Linked DNA regions of Astyanax mexicanus. The protein of the gene in region 3 interacts with the protein of the main gene of each other region in a pairwise test. Links are inferred from orthologs where the notes say so. Each region holds a gene or a part of one and is shown on either strand. Other genes may lie near its edges.

Evidence for each region.
Region 1: the proteins of lats2 (region 3) and ras association domain-containing protein 1 come close enough for resonance energy transfer, tested with the Homo sapiens proteins (2 studies listed by BioGRID). The link is inferred for Astyanax mexicanus from reciprocal best matches to the Homo sapiens genes LATS2 and RASSF1.
Region 2: the proteins of lats2 (region 3) and map3k5 come close enough for resonance energy transfer, tested with the Homo sapiens proteins (2 studies listed by BioGRID, with this or other methods). The link is inferred for Astyanax mexicanus from reciprocal best matches to the Homo sapiens genes LATS2 and MAP3K5.

The regions. Positions count from the first base shown.
Region 1 is NC_064412.1:14,811,488-14,819,064, reverse strand, and holds the start of ras association domain-containing protein 1, read left to right. Parts: upstream 1-4,525; 5' UTR 4,526-5,965; coding exon 5,966-6,284; intron 6,285-7,577. Other genes in the region: zmynd10 (zinc finger MYND domain-containing protein 10), read left to right, coding at 337-462, 1,145-1,266, 1,344-1,469, 2,807-2,906. UniProt on the Homo sapiens protein: Potential tumor suppressor. Required for death receptor-dependent apoptosis. Mediates activation of STK3/MST2 and STK4/MST1 during Fas-induced apoptosis by preventing their dephosphorylation.
Region 2 is NC_064408.1:49,309,831-49,317,803, forward strand, and holds the start of map3k5 (mitogen-activated protein kinase kinase kinase 5), read right to left. Parts: upstream 3,036-7,973; 5' UTR 2,303-3,035; coding exon 1,927-2,302; intron 1-1,926. Other genes in the region: lrp11 (low-density lipoprotein receptor-related protein 11), read left to right, coding at 6,823-7,477. UniProt on the Homo sapiens protein: Serine/threonine kinase which acts as an essential component of the MAP kinase signal transduction pathway. Plays an important role in the cascades of cellular responses evoked by changes in the environment.
Region 3 is NC_064418.1:25,406,757-25,414,564, forward strand, and holds the start of lats2 (serine/threonine-protein kinase LATS2), read right to left. Parts: upstream 3,029-7,808; 5' UTR 2,857-3,028; intron 2,816-2,856; exon of another isoform or gene 2,776-2,815; intron 1-2,775. UniProt on the Homo sapiens protein: Negative regulator of YAP1 in the Hippo signaling pathway that plays a pivotal role in organ size control and tumor suppression by restricting proliferation and promoting apoptosis.

The DNA.
Region 1 (7,577 bases), on a different chromosome or scaffold from region 3:
AATGGTGATAAGTATCATGGTACAGATATATAGTGATTTTCTAAATCAAATATATATTATAAAGGAACACAATCATATGCACAAAAGCTGAGTTCTCTTTTTATCCAATCTGAACAGTGGGATCTGAAGAAATTTCTACACTACCATCTCGCAGTCTGGGTTTAAACACAAAATGAAATGAACCATTCATAAACAATCTATACTGTATGTCAAAACATTCCTTTTGATACCTCAATATTTCCGTACAACCCAAGTTACATTAATTATATTGTTATTTTTTGCCATAATGGGCATTTGTTGATCTGTGTCTGTTGTCTTTTGTGTTCATGTCTGTAGCTGTGTGGATTTTTGACGGAGGTTGTTATCGATCAGCTGCCCAATCTTTCTGATCTTCAACGTTTCCTCAGTCATCTAGCTGTTACAGACCCGGCACCACCAAAAAAAGAACTCATCCTCGAGCAGGTACACTGCTGCTACACACACACTTTCTTTATCACTGTATTGCTAGAGAGGTTGTGAACCCATTACAGTTTTTTTGTATTTTCTGTATTACACTTAAATTCAAATGTAGATCTTGGATCTTGTCTATAATTAATTGAGCCTTTGGACCCAGGGCAGAAAAGCAGCCTGATAATGCCATCTCCATGCACAACAGTTGGGATATGGTTCGCTTTCCATTTAAACAAAAGTTTTCTGTTTAAGATTTTTCTGTTTTCTAGGATTTTTCTGTTGTCTGTTTTTGTTTTCTGTTGCCATCCATGTAGTATCCAGTTCTTCACTTCAGATGTGCAGCAGTGTTCAGTGTCCTTGCCCTTGGACTATAACCGTTGTGTTAAGTTACCTCCATTTGCACATAATCTTTCTCGTATAAGTGGGTTGCTTGGGCATTCTTAATTCTTAACTTTTTATCCTTTCTTCCTTCCTTTTTCTCCTTTGTTTGAGCCATTCCACAAAGTTCTGTGGTGAAGATTGTAAAGTTTATGTTTTTTTTTGTTATCCAATTACAGGTCAATTATGTAGGCATACAGAAAACTGTAAAGGGTTTACGTTTTTAAATAGATAAATGCAGATCATACGCCATTAGAATCTAAATCAAATATACTGATTTAATTAATAAACCATTTCTGACTAAATACTGTTTTAGCTTCCAGAAATTTGGAATGAAATTGTTGCTGAGAATTCTGGCAAGTGGAAGGCTATAGCAAAGCATCAGGTGCAGAAAGTGTTCAACCCATCCGAGAGTGAGCTGAGACAACAGGCAAACAGGTGAGTTTTAAATTTAGAAATGTGCATGCAATGTGTGATTAGTTCAGTATGATGAGCTGTGTGTGCCTGCTCCCCAGGTTGGCTGAGATGTATAATCTTGATCTGATGGAGAGTCTTATACCGGATAAGCCAAAGTGCGGAACTTGTGGTGCGGAGGGGATCAAACGCTGCTCCCGCTGCCAGGGGGAGTGGTACTGTAACAGGTATCCTACATTTACCTAACAGCAAATATATCTCAACCCTGAAACTAAGGAATCTGTATTAAATTGGATGTTTTGGATGTAAAATTCAGACCATGGCTACCTTTCAGAATGGTAGGACTAGCCATGCTACAGTGCCCCCAGAAACGGAGAGGGTTAATGGCCTTGTACAAGGACTCAAAAATGGCATTTTTTGAGCCTTGTGATCAGTAAGTCAGTGCTTATATTTGTATTATATACCTCATGGCTACTGATAACACTGGCATTATTGGAACAGCTGTGAGGTTGCTGACAGTGTGCATGCAGTGGTGTTTCATGCTATCTTATGAACACTAATACTTTTGGTTGTAAATTTGCATTTAATTTGGGCATTTTTCATTATACGACTACAAAAACAAAAAATAGTGGATTATGGATTATGGATCTAGTTTGACGTTCTAATGTACATGCAGCTCTACACACTAGGGGTGAGTGATATGGCCCTAAAATAATATCACGATATTTCACGGTATTTTCGCCATATCGATACTCTTGGTGATTTGACAAAACACTAAATTACAAAAATTATTTAAAGAATACACTACTGCAACAAAAGGAAATTTGTATTTTATTATTTCATACAATACGATATGACACACCCCTAACTGAGGTATTAAAAATACAACAATTGTATCAGATTTGTAACAGAAGTCAATGATCCAGAATGTCATGATACTAATAATGAACTCCAAATATCTCCATATATCCAGGATTAACGTAAAATAAATGATATTGGAGAGATATGATATGTCTCTAGTAGATATATAATGGGAAACGAGAAGAGTGTAAATTATTTTTTTGCTAAAAACAGCAAAAAAGTAGTACCCTGGTGTGATAATTAGGGGTGGGTGATATGGCACGATATTTCAGGGTATAATATTGTTAACGATATTCAAAAATGTTGGCGATATTGTTGCGTCTGATACGATATAGCACACCCCTACTACACACACATAGTTCTTTCTTCCTGAAAACTTGTTCTATATTTGAAACCAAAAAATTCGCATTATGCACTATTTACAGCTTTAATTCAGTTTTGAGTTCTACAAAAGTATGTGTCTTTCAGAAACATTCACTAATGAAATTCAGCAACTCCCCACAGGTTTCTGTTGTGAGTCAGTGTGTTTTCTGGCTTTTTATAGTTCTGGGGAAATGATTCTTACTGACCGTATGCCACAGAAGCTGAGGATAGAGATAAGATCACCAGACAACTAAAGTGCACTAGACACAGCCACAACTCTTTCAGACTTTGATTAGATACCAGCTACATTGTTCTAAATAATACATATGTTTCCTTGTAGAGAGTGTCAGGTGAAGCACTGGCCCAAGCACAAACTTGCCTGCCAGCTGATGGCAGAGGCCACAGAGAAACTACAGAAGGAGCTGAACATCAAGACCTGAGCAGACCGAAAATGGAAAGAGGCAGAGACTTCAGATGCAGAATCACAGAGAAGAGCAGACAGACAAATGACTAAACTCCATTATCACACTGACCTTTGTAGAATGTGTTGCTATGGTTATGGTGGTCATAATGGGAACTGAGGAAGAGAAGGAGTTTTCCTCTGCTCAAGTGAGCAGAGCATGTGCATGTTTTTCCCTGAAAATGTAAAAAAAAAAAACTTTTATAGTTCTCATAAGTGTTAGAACATTCTGCACACTGCTTCCCCATGACCAAAGGTATATGTATGAACAATGCAGATGCTTTATCCTTCACTCTCATTTCCCTGTACTTCCCTTTTGTTTGTTGGGTGGTACAACTTCTGGTACACAATATAGGCTACTGTTTGTTTCTCAACATTGAAACCCTGACTTTTGGCTAATACATGCATAAGATATATGATAGCTATATGTTGGTGCCATATGTTAATAAACACTTTAATAAATCTCCAGTGAATTGAACAACCTTGAATGTTTTTGTACAGTTTCTGTGTGTGTGTTTTGATGGCTTGTTTGATCCATATAATTACACAGTGACAAATTAGTTTAAAGTAAATTGAAGTCCATTCCTAGCACTCTAAAATATATGATGTTTTTAATCCTGTACACATTTTCCCATTAATGGGAGAATTGCTGTCGCATTCTTTTAAAGTGCCACATCATTTTTGGAATACTGTCTCATTATTTCGACTATTTCACAGTAATGGTTTATCACAAAACTATGAAAAAGTGTTTCGAAACAATGACTTAGTTTCTCAGAACAATGAAATGGTATCTCCAAACAATAAGATAATATCTCATAATAACTTAGTATATCAAAACAATTTGAGGGTATCTCATGACTTCGTGTCTTAAGACCATGTGAGGGTGTTTCAAAACAATGAGATATATATCTGATAATATTGACTTAGCATCTTAAAACAATAATAAAAATGACTCTCAAAACAATGTGATGGCATCTCAAAATAACTAATTAGTATATTAGAACAATGAGACATTATCCCAAAATAATGACTTGGTGTCTCAAAACAATGTGAGGATATCTCAAAAAATGTGATGGTATCTCTAAATTATGGCTTAGCCAACATTATCTTAAAATAATGACTTTTCTCAAAACAATATGATGGCATCTCAAAACAATGAATTAGTATCTTAGAACAATGAGATATTATCTCAAAATGACTTTGTGTCTTAAAACAATGTGATGGCATCTCAAAATAATGAATCTTAAAACAAGGTGAGGGTATCTCAAAAAATATGATGTAATCTTAAAACAATAGTAGTAGTAGACAGTATCTCTGAATCTCAGATAGTATCCCAGAATAATGACGTAGTACCTCAGAACAATAAGATATGAGTATCTCAAAATAATGACTTGGCATCTCAAACTAATGAGACAGCTATTTCCAAAACAATGGAAAAAATATATTTGGGGATTTTGTAAGTGTTTATAAAAAGACCAAATCATGGAAAATTTACTTTCCTTTTAAATTTAAAGAAAGTTTGATTTTTTTATTCAAACATGCTAATCCCACACGCGCACACACACAGGCACAGCATACACACACTCACACCCACAGAGGGCATGGCTGGAGAGCAGGCTGTGGGCTGGAGTGATACAGTGTGATTCTGCAGATGTAGTTACAGAGTCTTTAGCTCGCTGGCTGGATCCACTCAAAACCCAAAATAAGAGAGAAGAAGAAACTTACCACTCTTCTCTTTTACCAGCAGGAAGGAAAGGGGTTATTTCGTCGCTGCTTTGAGACATATCCGAAGAAATGACGCCAACATTTCGTGAGCCGTGGACGTTATCTTTCTCTGCGTTTCGCTATAAGCAGAAAAATGGAGACGAAGCGCTGGATTTGAAGCTGCTCAAACCCTCGTTCATGTGAAGGCGATTCCTGGAGCTTACCGTGGTGCTGTCTGCTCTTCATACCCGCGGGTGAGCTCTCAGCTCGGTGTCTGAGCTGAAGACAAGCAGCAGCCTTTTCTCTCAGCGGAATTGTCTTTTTAAAACTTCACCAGTCCTCTCAGCCATGCGGTAGGAGACCACCAAAGTTTTGCTTTAAAAGTGCTAGGTTAACATTTTATCTCAGACATAGTTTTAAACCTAACGTTTTTTAAAAGTAGAAGTACAAAATGTACTATACTGTATTTTTATAACTAGGGTGTCAACCAAAGTCTGTTTAGAAATCTACCTTTATTTAGGAGATATATGTGATACATTCTATATATTCTTTTAAAACTAGTTTTTAAACTATAGTTAACTAGGTAGGTTATGTAGGATAACTTATCTTTCCAGTGGGAAAGTGAATGTATTGTAGCTTACCTTTAAATCTCTTTTCAACCACTCAACTGGTCCTCAAAGACCCTTGTTGGAAAGTTTATTTGACATTTTTTCATTGTATGTGTTCTTTGAAAGACAGCATATTTAGCCGTTACCTGTACAATACCCTTAATTCTGACACTTGTATTGTATTTGTACTTCATCCTTCTTCTTCTTAATCTAAAATTTGCCAAACAATCTTTAGCCTGTCTCTTAATCGTATGGCTCTTAAGTATTATTATTATTTGACCTAAACCACAGGCCTTTCCTGAAACATCAGCAGATCTCATTTGCTCATGTTTTTCACCACAGAAATGATTCAAAGAGCTACCTAACCCTAAAACCACTTGTCAGGCTGGTGTTGATTCTACATTTCAAAGCCTTAACAAACTATATACTGTGATGATTTCTTAAAGTTAAAAAGACCTTTAATCTAAATGTCAGACATCATTCAAGGTCATCATACATAACCTGACAGACTAAGTTTAAACTGCACTGACTGCAGTGGAAAAGAACAATGAAAGCCAATAAAACCCCGCATTTTTTGAAGTCATCAAACCAAAAGTCATTACCTCTTAACTACACATCATGATGCCCAATGTCTGAAAAAAATGGCTTATTTCAAATGAGTCAAGGCAAGAGTCAGCTACAGTTGAGTGGACATACTGGACAAGACAGCCGTTGATCACTGGAAAGCATGTCTTTTGGTGAGATGATTGAGCTTAAAGAGCTCACCATGCTGGAGGGCCGCATTGAACTTACTGCTTCTGCACCATCTCGGACTACTCGTTTGGAGAGGGTCAATGCATTGAGGATAAGCCCAGGGAAAGTTCCTGAGCTGATAAACCGGGTCAGGATCATCAGACTACTGGGGGACTCTATGGATGACCCAAGACTTGTGGATGATACAGGAGAAGGCCATAACTTTCAGCCCTGCAGCCATACTCAACCCACGTGGTGTGACCTGTGTGGAGACTTCATCTGGGGGTTGTACAGACAAAGCCTTCGCTGTACAAGTGAGTATCACCTTCATTGTGCTTCCTGTGAATTGAATGAAATAGTTTATTCTTTAACCCCTCAGTCTGAAGCCCTCAAACATAATATTGTAGTTACCAAATCTATCAAGTAGTTACATAGTTAATACATGAACACAGTTTAGGATTAACAACTTAATAACAAGCTAAATGTTTAAGGAAGTTTTGTATAGTGCAGTCTGTGATGTAGATTTACATCCATGCATCGACAAGCTTAAAAGTAATGAAAAGTAAGGTATATGATCCACATAATCCATGAATGTTCTCGGTATATAGTCGCTATCCAGCAGTCTCTAAAACAGCAACTTTTACAGAAGAGAGAAAAAACTTGTATAAATATATTTTTCAAGATAGGATTGTCTCTCAGTTTCTCTTCTTTTCTTTTCTCTTACAAAATGAATGGCTTGTCACACACCCCTGTTAGTGGTTGGGTTTTTCTTCTCTACACATTTCCCAACACATTCCCACAACCTCTCAGTAAGATTTATATCTGATGAGTGATTGTATTGTAGTAGTATTATCTGAACTTCCTTATTTGTTAACCAAATTCATCACTGGATGAAAAGCGTGGCATCTTTCTTTGTTGTATTATTTTATTGAGTATAAGTTGTAGTTATTCAACAAAAAAGAAATGATCAGTAAAAGGAGTCTGTAAGAAACACGCAGAACAGTTAATGAGTTGTTACAACTACAACTAGTTAATCCTCTCACTCTACCATACATAACATAATCTTCTGGAGTTTGCTCTAAACTATTTTTTGGCACCAAACACAAAACATTAGAACATGCTGATAACAGTAGGATAGTTATTTGACACATAAATAGGTTGGCACAAAAATGTGAATGTCATTTTACAACCCTGTTATTTTGATAATAGATCTGTATATTTCATTTATTTTATAAAAAATAAACTTGTGCTTTCCCTTCTGATGAGTCTGTAGGTCCAGGTTGATTGGTCATTTGAGGGAGTTTGGATAAAAGACAGCTAAAAATAAATGCTGGCATCTGCCTGTGTTAACGCCCTTTTAAGTCCGATTTGTTTTATGGACAGGAACAAATACCTATTTATGGCGCCCTAAAATGAAAGACTTCAACACTGTTTGATACTCTGCTTTGTTGGATGTGTTAAAATCAGACTGACCTATCAGAGGTTTATTTTCCTGGTCGCAGACCATAAAAATAAGTCTCACATTAGCAGATTAGAACACAAAAGCTTAGCTATATGAAGAGCAACTCACTGACTATAAAATTACAGATGTTAAGGAAAATAAATGA
Region 2 (7,973 bases), on a different chromosome or scaffold from region 3:
GAGAATTACTATCCATGTCCTCAAAGTAATTTTACTTGCACTTTCAGGATTAACCACATTTGCTTAGTGTGTACTTTTATACAGAACTACCCACTTCTTGTTAGGTTTGTTTAACTTCTGATAAATGTCTTGTGTTTTGCAGGATTTTTGTTTCTGCAAGAGCAAACATATTTGAAACTGGGTGACAGAAACAACTACAGATATATTGGTGATTGAAGGTTTATGAACTGTTTGAGATTTTCTGATACTTCTGCATAAATTTGACATAAAACAAATTTTCACAAATCCTAGCACATAAGAAAAATCAACTCAAAGGCAACAAATGAAAAATTACAAAACTTGCCCATTTATTTATTAAGAAAATGGATCCAGTATTAAGCACAAACTTTCACAAACTTCCAAGCACCACCGTACCTTTGGTTTTGAATATGCCTGTAGCATTATTTTATAACAGTCAATGCATTTTTTATCCAGAGAGCTAAAAAAAAGTGTGTTAACAAAAGTACACCAAGTACACCAATTTAGGTGCACCAAACACTGTAGATAGTTGATTAAATGGCAATTTGTGTGTTAAAGTCATGGTGACCATTGGTTCCAGTCACCTCTATTGTATGTTTTGGTAAGTTACTCCACCCTGCTGAAAAATCCAGCTCAAGACCAGCATTTGCTTCTAGCTGAGGTAATGGTTAAGGTGGTTAGAAGCCTGGTCTTCCAGATATATAATTAACCTATGCTGGGAAGCTAGCTGGTCAGCCACCTTCTGACCAACACTGCGTATGCTGTTTCTGAGTTAGGTCATGGCTTGGTCATGTTGGTTTTTCTTGGCCAAGCATGGTTTTTCTGGGCATGCTGATCATAGTGGTCGACCAGTTAAGCAATGTTGGTCATGCTGGCCATCCAAACTGGTGATGCTGATTAAGTGGTGGGGCTGGTCAACCAGCTTGATGATGTTTATTATGCTGGTCAGCCCAGCTTAGGTGATGTTGGTAATGCTGTCCAACATGCTTGGTCATGATGGTTATGCTGGTCAACCAGCATGGTGATGCTGATTATGCGGTCCATCAGCATGGTCAAGATTGGTCAGAGTGGTGGTTTAGCTTGGTCAGGTTGATCATGCTTTAGTCTAGGGCTGCAACAATAAGTCGATATAATCGTCAATGTCGATTATTTAAATGCATCGACTACAAATTTAATTGTCAACTAATCGTTCATTTGTAACAGTCCTGCATTACACAAAGTGCTGGAGACAGAAGAGTAGCTCACTGAGTGGCTCACTCACACAGTTTACACTCAACTCCAAAAGTGCCCAAACACTAGAGATTACATATTTACTCACAAAATATTAGTACTTTCCACATTTAAAAAGCATCTAGACATTTAAATGTCTTTTAAAATCTCATGTTCAGCTGTTTCTATTGTTTTTAGAGATGGAGAACATGACAGAAATAATAGTTGATTAATCGACTAATCGAAAATATAATCATCACAAAGTTGACTACCAAGATAATCAACAGTTGCAGCCCCACTTTAGTCCAAACTCATCAAACTTTAACCAAAACTAGTCAAGAGCTAAGCTGAGCAACTATCCTAATCTTGAACAACATCAGCCGTTCTGTTGGCTATGTTTTTCAATTGGGTAGATTGAAGCATTTCACCCCAAATCCACCTGAATGACTACTCAATGCTGGTTGACTAGAATAACCAAGAGAAAGTGTGTTTTTTTTCCCAGATAGTGAAGGTTGTCCAATGGGAACTGCTCTAAACTCTACTACTGTTGGCTCACTGTCTAATAGACATATCTGTCTGTCACTATCTATGTTCTTTAGACTGGTGAGCCCACCTCCTCAGTTTCACTCTCAGTCTACCAGCGTGTGAATCAGCTTCACAGCGAGTCCTTAGAACTGGGATAAACAGCGCTGCACCTACCTGCGTTGTAAAAGCGGTCGAGTACGGCCGTCTCTCCGAAGTCCAGCTTCCCGAAGAGCACGATCTCGAGCGCGGTGCCCACGGCCTCGCAGGCGTCCCGCAGGCACTGCAGGGCCATGCTCTCGGCTCCCGTCTCCGAGTTCAGCACGTAAGCCACACTCGCCCGCCGGTTTTTGCACTTCCCCGGTGTAAGCAGCCCCCCGAGCCCGGCTCCGAGTCCGCTCTCCGCGGGGCATCCCGCAATGACCCCCGCCGCCGCCGCCGCCACCGCCGAGGACGCGTCCTGCCAGAAGGTGCCGGCGGCGGGCACGGCGGGGCGCGAGCAGTCCTCGCGACACGGAACCGGCAGAGAGACGCACTCCGGCTCCGGGTTCATCCTCCCCTTCTTCTTCTACGGAGGAGGAGGAAAAGAAAAGAGAAGAAAAACAGTAAAAACGCTCCTCCAGTCACTTCAGTTCCAGTTTCTTCTGCAAACGAGTTTTAGACATTCCTCCGCGCAGAATAATAAAAAATATATATAAAATAATAATAACGAAATAAATCACTGTTCTGTTCTTCACTCAGATGTTAAAAAAAAGATGAAAATCCTAGATTCATTAAAAAAAGTTGTGAATAATTAGTTAAAAATGTAAAAACACGTAGGTAAATGGTCCTGCAGCGCTAGCGCCGCTGCCCAGCCGGTTTGTTGTTGCTGTCAAGTCAGCGGCCACGCGCTCGTTCCAGCCTCGAGTCACGACGCGCGCGCGCGCTGTTTGTCCGTTCAAAAGTGAGTGCTCTCGGTGAGCCGTGGCTCCGAGAGCCCGCGCGCCTCTCCGCGCAGCACGACGACGCGGAGGAGTTGAAGTTGCCGCACGACGCGTCGGAGAGCCGCAGGAGGAGGAGAGGGAAGTCCTCGACGATCCGCGCTGCGCGAGACCATGTTCACCACAACACCAGCTCGACGGATCCGGCGCGCGAGGCTGCACGAGCTCAGCTCATCGCGCTGCGAAAACAAACACGAAAACGAGTCACACTCACACGCTGCCTGACTGCTCGCTCGCGGGCTCGTGCGGACCCTGCCCTATCACCACTGTTATCTCCTCCACATCACCAGAACTCACACACACACACACTACTCACGCGAAAACGGGGCGGGGCGTATTAGCATACCGGGAACGCCTTTTAAAGAGTCAGGCGGTCGAAAGTGAACATGGAGGAGGTGACGGGGGATTTCTGTTGGACATTACTCACGTTCTGGATAAAGGGGAATTCCACCGCCTTTTTAAAAGCGTCTCTTGTGATGAAACGGTTAAAATGTGAACTAATTCAGAGGAGGTTCTGCTGAAACGGGTCATTCTAGGAATTCTAGGAAAGTTGTACTGCTCAGAATTGTTTACACTGGTGGAATGTACTGCCTACGAAAGCTACATCGCAGAAGATTAATGCAGTAAATTGTTATAAGGCTGTGGAGTACATGTTACAATAAGACAATGTTTTAAGAGAGAGAGAGTACAGTTATGGGGTACGTGCAAGGTCAATCCATTTATTTCTGCTGTAGACTGAAATAATTGAAAAAAGTTGGTGGGTTCAGACAGAAGGTGCTATCTTCTGAACTGTGTACCAGATCCAGATGTAAATACATGAAAACAGAAGCTGAAAAGCTGATCTTTAGTCTCATATTCACATTTTAATGGCAAACCCAAATGTTTTCAGTCTACAGCAGAAACAGGGGGATCAGCCTCACTGTTCCACCAATACTTTTGAAGGGGACTGTTTATATGTTACATGATGGTAACTTTGACATGGCATACTAAATACTAAACAAACTACTGCGTGGAGAAGTTTAAAAAAAAAAATAAATAAATAAATACAGCACTGTCACATTACACATTTTGCTGTTTCAGCAAGGGTAGGCTCTTTTAACATCATGAGATTTAAAACAAATTTCTTTAACTAAACTTTCTCTACAGAAAGACGATTGTCAAGTCATAATGCTGACCTCTAGTGGCCCTCTTTTGACAATGCAAATTAACAACCCTTAGTATTTTTCAACTGCTAACCGACACTGCATGTTTTCGTGTGTTTACCCGCTTTGTAATAACATAAAGGGGCCCTCATATACTTAAGATGTGTGTGCTTGAAAAAAAATAAGTGCATGAGGATTTCAGGAAAAGGACTGGGACCCACAGGACTATAGATTCTTCGTAGGGGATGTCCTCAATGAGGACTACTGAGGACTGGGGAAACAGCATCAACAAATCACTAAATAAATACACTCCACTATCTGTAGTAGCACAATAGCTGTATACACAATAGCCCTTAAGAATGACCAGAATAAGTATCACTGCATCCTGCAGAGAAGAATTAAACTCTCTGTTGCAAATGAAGTCACAGCCACCTCTAGTGGCATGGCCTGGTTAATGCCTCTGTAGTGGGATGCCCTTACGTCACTTCAGGAAATCCAGAACCCAGTTACACAGGGAGTTGTTCAGGCCCAGCAGACTCAGTTTTCCAGCCAGATGCTGAGAGACGGTAGTGTTGAATGCTGTCAGTGAACAGTATGTGTCTTCATTTTCCAGGAGGGTGAGGACTAGGTGGGATATGGTGGACAGGATGCAATGTCTTGAACAGTTGGTAGCAATGAAACAGTAATCATTGACATATGACACTGGGGACTTCCTCATCACAGGGATGATAATGGCAATCTTAAAGCATGTATGAACTACACATTGTGAATGTTCTTGAACATAATTACCATTGCTCAAATTACCTGTTGTGACACTTTTAAGAAGTGCAGGACAATTCCTGGTTGCCACTAATTTTATCACTGAGCTGACCTAGTACTGTTGTGAAAATAAACAAAACGGTGTTTAAAGCAGCATTATGTTGCTGCTTGACCTTGTCGCTTCTTGTCTCCCCCTACAGTAAAGTGCAATTTGTGCTTTGAGCAACCACTAAAGCACACACTTTTTACATGCATTTTGCAAGAAGATCTGCAGAACCATCCCAGAAAGTGAATGGAATCACGTGGACTTTTATGCAACAATGGCTCAGGCTACACAGCATTACACAGTTGTTGTGAACATTGTCCTCTCCACTTCACCAGAGTTACATATTGCAGTGTCTTGTTAATTTTTTATGCTTAGTGATTTTTAAGCTGCTATTTTAGGATATACAATATACTAGACATTGCCTTGACATTGTTATAATAATTAAAAACTGAAAAAAGTACCTGTAAATAGAAATTATGTTTTTTTTTTTTATTATATATTCATGAATAAATATTCAAGCGCTACTTGTTCACAAAATGTCTCAATCCTGCTCATATCATTTAATTTGTATAAATGACTCTAAACTGTATTAAAGCAATAAAATAAATAAACACCAACTGCGTGATTTGAGGTCACATCAGCTCTTAAAAAATCTGTATACTTTAAATGTTTAACAGTGAGAATGAGCTGACAACAAATTACTTTGTTTTTTACTATTAAAGAGTTAATTTTATTGTGATGGCAAATACAGTCCCCTCCAAATGTATTAGAAGAGCGAGGCCAATCCATGTATCTCTGCTGTACACTGCAAACATTTGAGTTTTTTTTTATTATACTTCTTAAAAAAAGAAAAAGATCAACATTTCAGCTTTTATTTACAGTTGTTTACATTTGGCACTGATACACAGTTTACACAATAGACCTTTTGAACCCACAAAATTTTCTTGTAAGTCAAAGTATTGGAATGTGTGACAGGTGTCAGTTGTATTTCTTGATCTGGTGTGTCCTGATACATTGATTATTTACAAAATAAATAGCAATAAATGTCTACACTCAGTTTCAGATTTGGGTTTTGTCTGTAAAGACTGTGCATTTATAGTTAGAGGAGTAACAACATGTCCCTGAGTAAAACAAGCAACTGTAATGCTAAGAGCAGATGGAAAATACATTAGAGCCATTATACAAATATTGTTTATAGTCTGTACTACAGTTTGCAATGCCCTAAACAAAAAAAGTTGTCACTGGTGTATTAAGTAACAGATGTCGAACAGGTAGACTAAGGAAATCCACAGCAGTTGATGACAGAAACAATATGGGCATATTGCATGACAGATTCATTAATCTTCATCGATGTAGAAACATGTCTGTCAATTTAAAGAAAGGTGCAACCAAATTAATTAGGAGATGCTTCACCATGCAGCAAGATAATGGCCAACAATTGGTGAACACCTAATTGTTTACTTGTTATCTCACCTATAAGAGAACCCTATAGAGCACCAAAATTATTTTTTAAATTATTTTTTAAATTATTTTTTCTACTGGGAAGGGCACTGTTTGGAACACAGTCTTCTGACTGCAGTGTATGAGGCACTTCATAACAGCCATCCCTACTATTTGAAGGACAGAAGTCCAAACAACCCTGGGGGGGCGTACGTAAAGGGGTGGGAAAAAAATAAGACCACCATCGAAGTGCACAACAAAGGATGGGCTTCGCATCTGGCATGACGTCAACGTGCACTTTTGTGTGTGTGTGTGGGGGGGGGGGGGGTGTTGTTGTTGTAGGGCTCGGCCTCCTTCAGGTACCGCGAGACAAAACGGGACGTCACGTCAGGATTTCATCTACCTCCCTCTCTCTCTTTTTTTCGCTCGCTCATTCGGACTCCCAATTTCAGTGCGCATGCGCTTGCTCGCCTCACTCTAGCATCCTCCGTCCCCCGAGGACCAGAGGCGAGCTCGAGCACCTGCTGAACTGAGCGAGCGAGCCAGTGAGTGTGAGTGGGAGAGAGATAGATAGATAGGGGGATAAATAGAGAGAGATAAGGGCATAAGAGGAGAGTGAAAAAGAGAGGGAATATGGGCTGGTACGCGCGGAGACGATGCTGATGGTAATGAGAAGGACAGCGAGCGTTCTTTCCCCGACAGCACCATGAGGCTAAACATCGTCACGCGCGTCCTCGCGCCGCTGCTCTGCTGTGTGCTCTCCGCGCTTCCGGTGAGCTCGAGCGCCTCGCGCGCCGTCTCCTCGCCGCTGTCGGACCTCAAGAGCAAGATCAGCGGTGTGGAGGAGCTGCTGGAGGAGTTCCGCCAGCAGCTGCAGCACGAGGAGCAGCCTTACGAGCACGAGCAGGAGGATGAGCAGGATGAGGATGATGAGGGGGAGGTAGGGGAGGATGAAGAGCGGGAGCACGGGCCCGTGGCGGCAGCCTGCCTCAGCCGCTTCGACTCGGCCGAGTCGCACATCATCCGCGCGGCCGTGTCCATCGAGCGCGGCGCCACCTTCCTGTCCGCTCCGAGCGACGCGCGCGACCCCGCCGACTGCCTGCGCGCGTGCTGCGCCGAGCCGCGCTGCACCGTGGCCGTGGTGGTGCGCGAGGAGCGCGCGGCCCCGCGCGACGGGCCCCGCTGTTACCTCTTCAACTGCACCTATCGAGGCGCGAGCGTGTGCGCGTACTCGCCGCAGCGCGGCTTCACCGCCTACAGCCGCAACGGCACCACCGCGACCACCGCGCTGCGGAGACCCGCGGAGGAGCAGCAGCAGCAGGAGGAAGAGGACGGAGGAGGAGGAGAGGCCTGGATGAGAGGTAATCACTGTTCTGTATGTTCATCGTGTAGTCATTTTCATTTATGAGAGACTAATCAGCTAAAACTGCCTCTGTTTATTCTCAACTCTCGCCTTAACCCCTTTTATCAGAACAGAACAGATGTTTCTGTGCCTTTATTACTGAAGTAACTGTAGAATTAAACCCTGTTCAGACTGGCCTCCCTCTATTGTGCCATACTCAATAAGCAGTCCAGGTTAAAACACTTTTTATAACGGCAGTCTGAATGGGTGGAGCCAAACTGTTCTACATTGTAAATAAAGCCCATCTTAAAACAACTGTTTTTGTAAAGTCATGTTTAAAATAGGGTTCATTCCCACAGATAAATTGTGCTGACTGTGGAATGTTTACATTCTACACCAATATTGAGGACAATACAAATAAAACAGGTTGATTGAAATATGCCCTTTAATATTTTTAACATTATAACATTAATCTGTAACATTATAAGTAGCTATACAGTTCATTCAAAGCATTC
Region 3 (7,808 bases):
ACCACTGGGTCCTGAGTATATTGCACAAAACTTGCACAAAACAGAACAAACAACACACTATAAAAACAAACATCACAGTTGTTCAGTATCAGGTGTACTACTATAGACATTGGGTCACTGCCTCCTATTAAAAGTTGCCGAATGAATGTCACAGATACACATACCAGTCCCAAGACGTCACAGCTCAGCCTTCAGCAGGCTTTCATCATCACCATCATCACCACCTCAGGTCCCCAGCACAAACTTAAAGCAACAAAACAGTTGAGGAGTTCCCACAGGTTCTTTTCAGAACACATTCAATGGACACAAAGCTGAACAACACAGAACCAGGTAAGCTATTTGATAAGATAAGCTCTGTGTAACATAATGGAATTAATTCAAAACAAGCCAGAATGTTCAGAGTACAAAATATATTCAACACGATTCAGTAAAAATTTTCCACAACACAAAGATTGAAAACATGACCTAATCTGTACTGTCACATGTGGTGTACCTGGCTTAACACACATCTCTACACTGTAATATCCATTTCTCTGGGCACTCTACACTCACTGTCCACAACAGCTACTATTCACAGTGTCAAACATCAGTCAACACCCAAACCCACAAAACTCACTGTGAGAAATTAAATAAACATTACGCATTCATACTGAACCTAAAATAATATGGAAAACAAATATCTGAAACACGACATACAGCCAGCATTAACAAATTACACCACTATAAATGCTTTAGGCCTGTCATAATAATATTTTTTGGACAATTATTGTCCAAGATATATATGTCAAAGATTTATACCACTATATATTTTTATATAATGACAATATACAGTAATAGCATAATCGTGCCATTTTATATACCTTTTAAATAGAAATTAACTTTTGATTATTATAAAACATGCCACAAAGTCATTCACATTAATAGATTCTTCTCGTGATGTAAACCCCGTGGCCAGTACTGGGGTCAGCAAAAATGATAGATGTCATGTCCATACATTGTATGATATGTCTAGCCTATGATGTACATACTGTAAAAGACATATCAGCCAAATTGGTTAAGCCAAACCTGCTACATACGATCCACCTTCCTGCAGATTTCAAATCAGACCACACTCAGTCTCACCTGATCCATATACAGTAATTACAGCCTTCAGATGTCCCTGATTAGCTGAATGAGGTGTGTTTGATGTGGGTTGGAGGTGCGATGTGCAGAATGGTGGGTAGAGCTTTAGAGAAGAGTTATTATTCACTGACTGAGCTACTGAAATAAGTTACTAATAACTTGTAACTAAAATGCAGAATACAATTATAAAATGCAATTTCTGGTGCATGTTAAACAACGAGGAAACGTACACACTATATGGACAAAAGTGTTGGGAACAAGAATTTATCCTGCTTTTGTTGGAGTAACTGTGTCTTCTGTGCTGATAAGAGCTTCCACTAGATTTTGAAGCACTGCTGTGAGGTTCTGATTTCGTTCAGCAACAAAAGAGGAGCAATAGTGAGGACAGGATGTTGAATGATCACCATCCCACCTCAACTCACCCCATACCCAACTCACACCCCCCCCCCCCTCTCAAGTCTTCCCAAAAGTGCTGAATGGAGCAGCATCATTTCAGAGAACACAGTTTCACTGCTCTACAGATCAATACATGGTTAGGCATGGTATCAACAGGATCAGGTTTATTCCATTTAATTGGAAATACTTTTCTACAGGGACTACACAGTCTGTGTAATCCCTGTGTGTGCATTTGCACATCTGTGACAGCAGTGGGTGCAACCTAACTAAAGTACTGTAGTTGAGTACTGTAGTGTCCATAATCATCTGGGCATACATAGCTTATATAAGTTAGCTAGTGTACATTTACTATAGTGCACTATTTAATATTACTGGTATGTGTATGTATGTGTGATCACTTTATTAGGCAGCACACCTGAGACCATCCATTCACAGAAATGAGGACTTCATTCACAGAAAACACTAGAATAATAAAAATAACAACAACAACAATAATAATAACAACAACAGTAATACTTTTAGTGTATTTATAATAATAAAGATTTTAATTATTTTTATGATTATTAATGTAATTAAAAAATATATAATTAAATAATAGTACGAGTAGTATTATAGCTACTGTATAAGCAAAGTGATACTACCTGTTTAAAAATATGGTATTATTAATTATATTAAGCTTATTCCTAACACTTTCTAGTCTTTAACTAAGGCTCATCTTAATTGTAACATTAAACCCACTTGAATAAAAATATTTAAAGAGCACAGGAAGCACGTATTGTCAATACAAATACATTCCCATTTTAATATGTTTTTAATCTAACATGCTTAAATACACTAGAAAACACAATGTTACTGAGAACACAATAAAATGAGACTATTATTAGGATTTAAAATGAGAGAAGTCCAAAATCACAACTTACTCAAAAAGGCAGTGAATTGTTGAGCTTTTTTTTTTAATTATATCACAGTTAAATCACAGTTGGTGTTACTATTCACTGTTTCCTCGGTGTTATAAGAGTTTTAGTGGTGTGTAAGTTCTGTAGAGAGTCAGTTAAAGGCCTTTTCCCAGAGCCTGGAGGAGTTGGAGCTCTCTGGCCGAATGGAGCGAGAGGAACGCAGACCCGCTGAAGCAGCTCGACATTCCTCCTCCAGCTGAGGGAGAAACTCCAGCCTGCTGCTGCTGCTGCTGCGGCTCCTCTCACCAACCAAACACAACTTTAACCACAATTCTACACAAACCACGACGGAGAAACAAACCTCCAGCAGCTCCAGCGGCTCGTCCTCACGCGCTTCCCTTCCCCAGAGCCCGAAAAGTGATAAAGCTGCGGGTCTACTCACCAACTGATAGAACTGTAAATCCCGTGTACAGAGGAAAGCTGGGGATTTAAACATCGGTTTCTCGGGTTTTCGCTGGTCGGACTCGTTTTTATAAAAAGCAGAGTTTAAATATGCTGAGCTCGTCCTCCATTTTCTTGCTCCTCTCGGCAGATTTAGAAATGCAGCACAAAGTTGGACACTTACTGCATTGTTAACATTCCTTAGGAGTCACGTGAGGCACCGACGCACGTCAGCACTGCACATAGTCTAGGCGGGGCTTCCTCCATTTACAACACCCCGCTCAGCGACCCCGCCGCCGCCGCCGCCGCCGCCGCGCCGCTGTGGAAAAGCCAGGCCGGGCCGGGGTGGACTGTGCTGCCGCTGCTGCTGCTGCTACTGCCGCCCGGGCCTGAGACCCAGCACAGATCACAAACCTGACCAGGGCTGCACCATTTCAGCTTCAGTTCCTTTAAAAGTGTGTGTGTAAAGTCTCTACTAAGTTCTTAGTTAACTGCACTGGTTAGTTTCAAACCTCCTTTTTACTAAATCCGGCTGCACCAAACACCCGTAACTTTATATCGTGTCTTAACTATTAACAACTAACTCCTGCGCAGATTTACCGACTCGCTCTTTCAATAAGAAAATTATTGTATAACATGGAAATCAACATGTTGCCATGGAAACGCGTTTGCCATCAGTACAGATGTTTTTTATTATTTGTGAAAAAAAAATACATTATTGACTTATAACACAATAAATGGACGTGACATCAGTAATATTTGATAATCGTGATTTTATCTATTGCGTTTATTTGTATGTTTGATAATATTTATAATAGTGAACAGTATTTTAGCCAGTTGTGCAATGACCAATGCTTCAGTAATTGCGACTTGCTGTGTGGACTGCAGTAAGTAAAGAGAAAAGTATTAATTTCCCAATATATGATTAAAAAAGTCTTTAACATGGTAACCATTATGTCAGTGGCATTTAAATGGTCTTAAATGTCAATAATAACATTTATTAGAATCAGAAGAATATCATTTTAAAATTATTTTATTTCGGTATTACACACAGAGTAAACCATGTTTAATATAGGACTTTTACATTTTAAACTAAATTACTAAAATCGAGTAACTTTTCAATGATATATTTTTTGGAGGTCATATATATGATATTCTTGCATTATCTTGTGTTATCTCCCGAACACCCAGTAGGAAAAGTGTTTTTTTTTTCATCCTTACCCAAAAGAAATGCTACTGTTGAGGTATTTTAACAAATTTAGCATAAAAGGTCACTAGTCTATCACTATTGTAAAATCTAAATTAAACCTGTCAAAGGCAAAGAGATTAGAGCACCTTAAAACACAGAGCTTATATATTTGTAAAAAAAAAAAAATAAATAAGATCAACTATATCCCTCCACCTTTAAAGCATAAATAGGGCAAGGGGTCTCCTTCCTCACCCTCACCACCACCATTACTCCAAGTTGAAGGTGATGTTTCTGGTTCTTCCATCTCAAAACAAACTAACAAAGCTCCAATGTTGTCAGTGCAGGAAGGCAGTAGAGCAAAAGGCAGAATGTGAGCAGCAAGGTCTTCTTATAAGATCAACTTGGTCACTTAATTCACCCAATGATGAGCAGCTTCAGCAAACCCGGTGACAGTGCAGAGCAGTATGGAATTTTCAGGGCATCTGTTCACACTGAGCAATGAAATATATATTTTTTCCTTTTTTATTTTATTCTTTTACATGAATTTGAATATGGCCCTTTATTTTAAACAAAACAACCCATATCCATGACTGACTCATGGGCACACACATGTATGCGCAGGCACACATAGAACCTATCAAGAGTGGGACAATACAGAATAAATAGTGTTGTTTTGTGCATGCGCATGAGACAATGAAGATTATTTTTGCGGTTCCTGAGCCCTAAAAAGTACTGGCGATCCTCCTGGTACCGAATAAGGATGTAGTGCAAAATGTATCAGACTAAAAGTATAAAACTCATGGAAAACATGTATTGAAGTAAAAGTGGAAGTCGGAGAAAAATAATAATAGATACAGCAGATACAGCATTTTAGTACTTAATTACAGTTGTGAAGTACTTTGTTATACAGTTGCAAGAAAAGGTATGTAAATCCTTTGGGATTACTTGGATTTCTGCATAAATTGGTCAAATAAATGTGTTCTGATCTTCATCTAAGTCACAACAATAGACAAACACAGTCTGCTTAAACTAATACCACACCAAAAATTACATATTTGCATCGATTTATTGAACACAACATGTTAAAATTCACAGTGCAGGGTGGAAACAGTATGTGAACCTTTGGATTTAATAACTGGCTGACCCACCTTTGGCAGCAATAACCTCAACCAAACATTTTCTGTCAGGAGGAATTTTGGATGATTCCTCTTCACAAAACTGTTTCAGTTCAGCAATATTCTTGGTATATCTGGTGTGAATCACTCTCTTGTGGTCATGCCACAGCATCTCAATTGGGTTGAGGTCGGAACTCTCCAGAAGGCGTATTTTCTTCTGTTGAAGCTATTCGGTTGTTGATTTACTTCTATGTTTTGGGTCGCTGTCCTGTTGCATCATTCATCCTCTGTTGAGCTTCAGTTGGCGTCCAGATGGTCTTAGGTTTTCCTGCAAAATGTCTTGGTAAACTGGGGAATTCATTTTTCCGTTGATGACGGCAATCCCTCCAGGCCCTGAGGCAGCAAAGCAGCCCTAAACCAAGATGCACCCTCCACCATGTTTCACAGTTGGGATGAGGTTTTGATGAGTGTGTGCTGTGCCATTTTTATCCATACATAGCGTTTTGTGTTCCGTCCAAACAACTCAATTTTGGTTTTATCTATCCTCAGTATATTTTGCCAGTTGTGCTGTGGAACATCCAGGTGCTCTTTTGCAAACTTCAAACGTGCAGCAATGTTTTTTGAACAGCAGTGGCTTCCTCTGTGGTGTCCTCTCATGAACTCCATTCTTGTTTAATGTTTTCCTTATTGTAAATTTGTCAACAAAAAATGTTAGCATGTGCCAGAGATTTCTGTAAGTCTTCAGCTGACACTCTAGGATTCTTCCTCACCTTATTGATCATTCTGCACTGTGCTCTTGCAGTTATCTGTGCAGGAAGACCACGCCTAGGGAGAGTAGCAACAGTGCTGAAATTTCTTTATTTGTGGATCGTCTGTCTTACCGTGGACACATGAACATCAAGGCTTTTAGAGATACTTTTGTAACCCTTTCCAGCTTCATGCAAGTCAACAATTCTTGAATGTAGGTCTCCTAAGAGCTCTTTTGTGCGAGGCATGATTCACATCAACATGGGCGTGGTAGTGGGGGGAAAAGTGGACCTGACTACCCAGGGCCCGAGTAGGGAGAGGGGCCCATGAAAATCCTGATTTTTTTTTCGCTCACTTTCCTTTGTTTACTGGCATGGATAGGGGCCCATTAACATAGAGGGTGTACAGGGCCCAGAATTTGCTGCTACGCCCCTGCACATCAAGCAAAGCTTCTAATAATAACTTCTTAAAAGAACTCAAAACTGGTGTGTTTTTATGGGGCAGGGCATCTTTAACCAGCACATCCAATCTCATCACATCCTGACTACAATTAGATCTTAGAAAAGTCATTAGCCTAGGGGTTCACATAGCTTTTCCCCCCTCACTGTGATTGTTAACGTGTTGTGTTCAATAAAACCATGCAAACATAATTTTTGTGTGTGGTATTAGTTTAAGCAGACTGTGTTTGTCTATTGTTGTGACTTAGATAAAGATCAGAACACATTTAATGACCAATTTTTGCAGAAATCCATGTAATCACAAAGGCTTTACTTACTTTTTCTTGCAACCTTGCATCTCGGATCACAAGGTGCTCTGACATTTGCATGCCACAGTAAACATTATCTTGTTCTTGCATAAAAATACTGACATTTCACAACATAGGCCTACTCGTGGGATAGCAGTGTGTAAATTGATCATAAGGTGTTACCTTATGTTAGAGGTCTGCACAGGACTGCTTTTTTAAACCCGCTCCCGATTGTTTTAATCCCGAATGTCTGCTTCTCTGATTGTTTTAATCCCTCACCTGCCAAAATTACTGATTTTAATGCCACGGGCAACAAAAATTGTTTCTTTTAATCCCAGACCCACCAAAAATCGCTTGTTTTAATCCTACACTCACCAAAAATTGTTTCTTTTAATCCTGTGCCCACAAAAATCGTTTGTTTTAACCCCCCACCCTCCAAAAATTGTTTGTTTTAATCCTGCTCCGCCAAAAATCACTTGTTTAAACCCGCACCCGCCAAAAATCGATTGTTTCAATCCTGCACCCGCCAAAAAACACTTTTTTTGATCCTACACTAACCAAAAATCGCTTAATCCTGCACCTGCCCAAAAATTGCTTGTTTTAATCTTGCACCTACCAAAAGACACTTGATTTAATCATGTGCCTGCCTGCCCGCACATACACATTTCTGCCACTCCCACCCACAGTGCTAATATGAATTGAATAATTCAACTTTTTTTGCTTAAAATTTATTTATGTATTTATTAAACAGCAATACAGCGCTGTCCCATTACCACAGTCCAAACCAATGCCGTCAGGTGAATTAGAGATGCTGATATAGTCCCCCCGTGTGCGAGTGTCTGTCGGTTCAACCTCTGTTTTGATATTTATCAGTAATATCTTGAAGATTTTTTTTTCGCTTGCATTGGCTATTAATCTGAAACTGCTTTCTGTTTTCTTTGCAGCTTTACTTGAGTGCCAGTCATGCGTCTGTAATACTCAGGAAGTTCGCTTTAGAATTACATTTCTTTGAGTTATTCTCAGTGCTGAATGCATTAATCAAGATTTAAGCATTGACTGCAGTCAGATCAAGAATCTTGTACTAGAGGTGGATTTAGGCCTGTACACTGGATGAAGAGATTGATTTAGAAAAAAAACATTAAACTAATGAATATATG